Linked DNA regions of Xenopus tropicalis. The protein of the gene in region 2 interacts with the protein of the main gene of each other region in a pairwise test. Links are inferred from orthologs where the notes say so. Each region holds a gene or a part of one and is shown on either strand. Other genes may lie near its edges.

Evidence for each region.
Region 1: the proteins of rtn1 (region 2) and ugcg interact in a two-hybrid assay, tested with the Homo sapiens proteins (2 studies listed by BioGRID and IntAct). The link is inferred for Xenopus tropicalis from reciprocal best matches to the Homo sapiens genes RTN1 and UGCG.

What each region holds. Positions count from the first base shown.
Region 1 is NC_030677.2:108,022,127-108,025,958, reverse strand, and holds part of ugcg (ceramide glucosyltransferase), read right to left. Parts: intron 520-3,832; coding exon 378-519; intron 1-377. UniProt on the Homo sapiens protein: Participates in the initial step of the glucosylceramide-based glycosphingolipid/GSL synthetic pathway at the cytosolic surface of the Golgi.
Region 2 is NC_030684.2:102,880,790-102,884,621, reverse strand, and holds part of rtn1 (reticulon-1), read right to left. Parts: intron 1,121-3,832; coding exon 356-1,120; intron 1-355. UniProt on the Homo sapiens protein: Inhibits amyloid precursor protein processing, probably by blocking BACE1 activity.

The DNA.
Region 1 (3,832 bases), on a different chromosome or scaffold from region 2:
TAAAGCCTGCAGGGCAAGCTCTTACACATCAGCTAAAGTATTAAATATAGCTACTTTCAAATAACATCTTTACAAATGTACATTTGCACATTTTGCTTAGTGAAATGTCACCTGTCTACCATAAAAATCTATTTATTTGGGTTTAAACATACAGATACAGTTAAACATACATATAGTTCTTGCTAGTTCTTTTATCTGATTACTTAAATAAACTTTAATCCCTAGCAACCAGTGGAAGTCTTGTACAAAACAAAGAAAAATGGCTCTCTTGGAAAAAAAGAGTTTCCCCATAAGCCAATTGTGAATTCTTCTGAAGCACCCAACTAATAACTATGCTTCAGATACAACAGATCAAGCAAAACCTAATGATTCCTTACTTTTGGATAGTCCAATTCAAAGAATGTCTCCAAATTATTGATAAGGTTGGGGTCGACTCCTTTCAGTGGTTTAAGAAGTGAAACACCAGGTAGTTTGCTGTATGGCTGCTTGTCAGATACCTTCTTGTTCAGGTGTAGCCTTCTGTAATAAGAAAAGAGAATAAAAACTTTTTAAAAATGTGGTACCTTAAAGATTGAAAGATATGTATAATAATTAATAGATCAGAATCAGACACCAAAGGTGTTATGTAATACAAGCACAAGTTTGCCAAAACGTTAACCCATAGCAAACAATCAGCAAGTAGCATTTACTTGTCACCTGTTTAAAAGGTGGTTGCTATGGGTTACTGCTCCTGGGCAAACTTAGTGCCTTTAATCACATATGGGGTTGGCATATTGAATTTAAAAAAAACACAAATAAGGCAAAAACCAACCTTTTTTCTTAAAGGACATGTAAACCTCACACGCAAAAATGTAATCAGTGAACAGCCTATTTGAAATCTTTCAATACCTGCCACCCTGGTTGTCCAGAGGTTAATAGTAAGGCCCTTAATCACTTAGATTTCCTTCTCCTCCTGTAACCCACTCGGCCCCCTCCCTCGGGAATTTGCTTTGACTGTTGGCTTGTGGGCATGCTCAGTTGTTCTAAACTCAGATTACTAAACACGCCCCCCAGTCTAGCAGCCAGTGAAGAGATGGCATTGCTGGTTCCCATAGAAACTCAGCTCTAGCTGTCTGCTCAGCTCAAACAGCAGACCTTTTATCAAAGACAGTTCTGCCTGTGTGAGCCTGCATTCTTGATGAAATGTATGCTGAATAAGGGTCTGTGTGTGTGTACGCTGTTTGCAGATTTAAATGTAACGGATTATGTATCAGAGGGAAAATGGCCACCGGGTGAAAGCTGCTATTTGCTTTAGGAAAATGTGATGGTGCTGGCAAACGGAGGGGATCTATGCAGTACAAATGATGCCATTTGGGTGGGGGAGACCTGCCCAACTGATATACATTGTAGGCAAATGTAGGCTTTACATGTCCTTTAAGTTTGTCAACCAGTGTTTATACTATTTTACCCCTACAAAGTTTTCCTTTGTATTCCCTATACCTTATTAGTTTTTTCTTTTGTGGTCTTCCATCTCACTGCAACCCCTGAGATTGGGTCAATCAAGGTTAAAAAATAAATTTTACAATATGCTAACTTTCCATTACTTGACTGCATATTAAAATATTAAAAGACTACTGTGCCATTTCAAACCAGACATCATTTAAGAGTCTTTGTGCATTGTGAAAAGGAACTTTGATGCAATTCTGTCTGCCTCATCATTTAATCCTAATAAGGTAAAGGCATAATACCGGGGCAATTACATGGCTCTGATGACAGGTCCAAAACACACTTTATTAGCCGCCACAATTCCTGCTATGTCAAATGCCTGGAAAGATTCATACACCTGGCAGAACTAGTTTCACAACAAAAATCTCCAAAAATCACTTTAAGAGGTTTCAGGGGAATGCCATAGCAGGATACTACTATCACTTTTTGTGCAAAATGTTACTAATCCAACTTTCTTAAATTAACCAATATTAGCTTCAGAGATGTCCGAAACAAAATTTTATACAAAATTCCTCTCCCTGAATAGCATAATACATAACTATGTAGGTTCCACTACCACATCCACTGCTTAGGATTCAGAAACTAGCATGGTGTTGATTGGTCAGTGTGCAAATGAAATAAGAAAAATGTGCAGCTGTTAAGTGGGGTGGGAAAGTACTGATCTCTCTTTCCCAGAACTGTGTGCATAGATAGCAATCTGATTCACTGGGGAAAGGTACTTACTTGCTGTTGCATATCACATCAGTTCTTTATATTTAATGGCAACAAAGCTATCAGCCTGAGGGGAAGATGTACAATTAAAAGTTGTTAATGGGAAAAATATTTGCAATGCGAAAATTCATTGCTTTGAGCAAAGAATTCTGCTTTTGCGTGAATTAAATATAGCTTCTGCAAACCCAGAAACTGTTTGGCGACCACATCTGCAGGTGGAAGTATGATTGCTAATTTTATAGTTTGCATCAGTGCACAGTGTATGTAATAAAAATAAGACCAGCTCCAAGGATGCTTAAAAGTGCAGTATGCGCTATTAAAATAAGCCCACAAATGCTGAAAAGTACCAGTAATAGTGCATTCATGATGCTCATTAAACTGGTAGTTGCTAAGTCCTGTGTGCCATAGCCCTTATAACAAACATTATATACTACATTTAAAGCTACTCTTTAAAGTAAAATCACCTTGTTATAAAATATGGAAAGACCTTGTTTGAACACAAATGTAAGAAAAAAAAAAACTACTACTTCAGTGCAAATCTATCCTCTGATTTCTATGAAATATGTTTTAAAAAAATCTACTCATTTCAGCCATATTAAGCAGATGAAAAAAATTCAATAAATAAACCCTGGCACAGAAGAAAGTCAGTTAAGGAAACGCACAATGCCAGTGGATGTTGGTCCCTTGACAGCAAGTCTGTAATTGCTTTGAGTGTTTTGTTAACGTCAGCAAAGTAGGATAATTAAACAAATGTTAGCGAAGAAGCAAATGCCTTTAGCTACTTAAGGAAAGAGAAACTGTGTAGCAACAATATATAGCATGAATACATGTGTGAATATATATCTATATATATCTATATCTATATATATCTATATAGCTATATCTATATATCTATCTATACATACATACATACATACATACATACACACAATACTACTGGGCATAATGTTAAAATATAAAAAAAAAAACAAAAAAAAACTAGAAGTATCAAATGAATGAGCATCTCATTTGTCCAGTTCCAAACAATTTGAAAAACATTCACATTCCTTCATTCCTATTTGGAGGCCACTATCACCCCCCCCCCCCAAGCACCAAGATAACTGCAGAATGCAACACTTCCAAGAAATAAAGCTCATCAAGCAAGCTCACAGGAATTTTTCAGCCTGCATTCCATAGTGGAAAGTCAGCTAACCACACAAACACTGGGAAATAGATCTACATCCTTAAAAAAAATCCTTGGTTGCCATTTGTGCCAACTCATTATGCTTGAAAAAATTAAAACCTCACTTTCCTGCAGGCAGCAGACTTTTAAGGTACACTTTTTCTCTGTGTAGTGCTAATAAAGATTATAATAAAATTTAACACAAGCTGGATAAAAGATTTTAACATATTTGCGGTTTCTTACAGAAAAACATTTTCACCTTGTAATCACTTTTTTGTTCAGGTGATTTTGCGATTCCTTCTGAAAAAAATATTTTAGAAATAAAATTTTAAATTCAGTACCAAAAGCATTATGGGTGGGGTGGTGGTTCAGTAGTAAGAACTGCTGTCATGCAGGGCAAGGATCCGGTTTATAACTGTGTGCCTTTCTCCAGGTTTTCCACACTACAGCATACAATAAAATGAACCCTAGTGC
Region 2 (3,832 bases):
GTTTCCAGATAACGGGTCCTATACCTGTACAGCGCACACAGACACAAGAGAGCCCTGAGATTAACAGATTAATCACAACTGCTAGAAATTTATAATTTCTAAATCCATAACTGAGATACTCCCCTGGCAACATTTCAACACCAGCCTTATTATTGGCTCATGCTGAACATGGGTCTATAGTTTAACTTTAAAGAGTGTACTGCTGATATTACACCAGTAAGATTTTAGGGAGAACCAGGCACCATAACACAGACAGTTGGCAAATTGTGGCAGTTCATCCTATTGGTAGGTCACATGTGGTCATTATTTTTTACGATCTGCTTTAGACCAAACATTTTGTTCAAAAACTTGTTACCTGCATCTGTGGATGGGGGTGTAATAGATTCTGGACTGTTGTCTTCTGGCTCTGAAACAGTAACAGTTGGTACCATATCAGGACTTAGCTTTAAGCCTTTATCTGATTTGCCTTGCTGATTTTCTGGGTACTCTGTTTGTAATGTAGTTTCCATCCCAGTAAAGCTAATTGTCACAGGTGCTGATTTGGGTTCTTTGGATGTTGGTGAATTATATAAGCCAAAGTCTTTTCTTGGTTCTTCCATATATGGTACATAGGGCAAATATTCAGATATGTTCCCATTGTAATGGTCTTTTTGCCAAGACATTGTTACACTGTCATAAGCTTGTTGTTCAGTAGGAGCAGCCTGGCCTATGGTGCTTGCTTTATTTTCTCCAAAATCCTTGTCCAGAACCTGTTGTGGTTTCATGTCTGGTGACCTGCTAATATCTATATATTTGTAAGCTTCTTGTTTTTCCTCCTCTGTGGGGTCAGCCAAGCTTTTATTCACTTCACTGCATTCTGCAGGTGTCATTTCTATTCCTGAATCCGAACTAAGTAACCCACGAGAATCAAATGTTGGTATCTCCTTGGGTGATCGAGGCCCAACACCGCTGAATTCCTTTATGTCTGGGGACTCAGTTCCTTTCTTGGAGATACCAGTAAAGTAGGTGGAATCTGTATGAGAGTGCTTATCAGAAGACAGATATGTGTAAGACAAGCCATTTTCATCTCCTGGTAGTTCCTTGGATTCAGCATCATGTAAATGAAGAGTACTGGTGAAATCTAAAATTACAAAGAAAAACAAAGAAAAACTTATATGACTATAATAGCACTATTAACACTGTTGTATGGTTTTTTAACATGCAGTGGGAGTGCTTGTCTTTGGGTGTATTCTGCAAGTGGTGGGGCTTGCACTTTTAGGTGATTCTCATAGGGATAAACAAAAGTTAATTTTAGATGTTTTGAAAAAACACTTGAACTCGTGCACCTTTTCTTGACCCTACCACATTAGAACTATTGGGGTCTCATGAGCAAAGAGGCAGCAAAAAAAGTGAGTCAATGGGTAGTTACCAAATTGTTTGAAACAGGTTTTCTATATGCACTCTCAGGAAAGAATGAAACGTAGGCAGCTCCAAATAGCAGTTGTTTATAGCCCTGTGTGACATAAGCCACAGGAAAACATTTACCATTCACTACTGGTAAGTTGCAGGCTCACTCACTTGCTGAGTAGGTTTAGTAAGGTTATTGTTCTGGAAGGCTGGAAAATCTTTTTTGGCAAGAATTGGTGGGATCGACATTGGACTGTAGATGCAGTTCTGTATACATGGGCCCTGACATTTTAAGTACACAGCTCTAACATTACATCTGTTAGATCAGTGCTGTTTAATATCCATGGTAACTGAGGGCCATAATTTTTCTGACCTACATGGTTGAGGGCCAATAATGGAAGCCAGTTTTGACCACTTTCTTTTTTAAACCATACCTACTTTAAACCACACCCATGTTATCAAAGACCTTTTAAGACCATATCCACATTAATGGTGGTAGCACACCAAAAATCCAAATGGTTGGTGTTCACTGCAGGGATATCACTCATATGTAAATAAAAAAAGTTTATAAAGTCATATTAATAGGGCAGGCAGAGTATGGCACATACAGGCAGCATTGGGCATGCAGAATATGGCGCACACAGGCAGCATAGGGCAGGCAGAGTATGACACACACAGGCAGCATAGGGCAGGCAGAGTGAGGCACACACAGGGAGGGCAGAGCAGGCACAGACAAAGAAAGGCATGAAACAAGGAAACCTATCAGGGTCTCACAAGTGTGAGCAATGAAGAGTGGTACAGATGTAAACAATGCAGTAGCTTACAGGTGTGAACAATGCAAGGGCTTACATGTGTGAATAGTACAGGGGCTTACAGCCTGAATCTGAGGTGTGAACAACGCAGTGGCCAGTTAATCTCAGTACTGATCCCATTTAAATCTTACACAAAGGTAAGCAAACACAGCAGCCAGACTTTAGTGGGGGCCAAACAAAGAGGGGGGCATGGGCCACCAGTTGCACAGCACTGTGCTAGATCATTAGCTAAGACATCTACAAATCCAGAAGACCTTGGCATTCCAGGCTTCCAATATCAAACCACTAGCTGCTTCATACATATGTGTATGATACGGATGGTTTCCCAAGCCTTTAGCACAAGAAAGGCAGAATGTTCTATGAGAATTAATTGCTGTTCAGATAAATCTCAATGTTTCTCCCAGTTACTGCAAGTTACTATATACAAATATCTAGCAACACCAATGGTATCACATGGTCTACTCCTTTTATCATTTATTAAGATAAATTGTTCTCTGGTCAAATTTGTTAGTGATTGTGTACATTATATATGTTATATAACTGTAATACAGCATTGGAAATACATCTCCTTCACAGTGGGGACTCTATAAGAGCTAAAGAGCAGAAAGCAAAGGGCACTATTTAAAAGAATATAAGGAGGGGTTAGACTGAAGAAAAAAATAATTATTTTTACTTTTAAAACATAAAGGCGTCTATCCATGTCAGGGTTGATTAACTGGAGGCCAGAAGTGACTTTCTGTGTATAATCTATCTATCTATCTATCTATCTCACATATTTTTTATATATCATGTACTATAATACTTCAAATGTATTACAATAATGATTATCCAGGACAGTCATAAGAAAGACATTTTGGGGTCAGAAGTGCTGCGTGAGGTTCTTCCCCTGGGTTCTTGGAAGAATATTCCTAGGTATGACTTTCATACTCAATCATTATCTCACTGTTGACCTTGAATCAACATATATCACTAACAATACAAGTGATAAAGGTTCAAATTGCAGAAAAGTAAGGGGTTCAGCTTGATCAAAATGTGTGGTGCACAAGCCCTTGTATATATGGCATCCAGTTCTGCCATGCAGGGTCAGGAACCATGCCAGGACTGGATATCAGGGCTAGGTGTTACTGGAGCAACTAGCAAGTGCCCCCTTGGGAAAGAGACTTGCAACGTTCCCTGACAAGTGTTTTTGGCTGATATTCTCCCATGTGATTAAAGCACAAATGCCGCCATAGAGCAACAGAACAAGACACATAAGGAGAATTCTGTCCATTGAGGATTCATTGTTCATTGTAAATATTTCTCTACAGACGTACATATACAAAGTAAGATTTATTTTCTGTTATATAATTTGACTATCCATGTAATCTGTTACTATATACATTTTAAACATGTTTTGGAGCCAACAGGTCTTGACTGGGTTTGAAAATAGGCCCTCAAGGAGAACTAACCCCTTAAAATAAATATGGATAAAAATGCCATATTTTATGTTACATAGTTACATAGGGTTGAAAAAAGACCAGTGTCCATCAAGTTCAACCCATCCAAGTAAACCCAGCACACTTAACCCACACCTACCAATCTATACACTCACATACATACACTATATATACACAACCACTAGTACTAACTGTAGA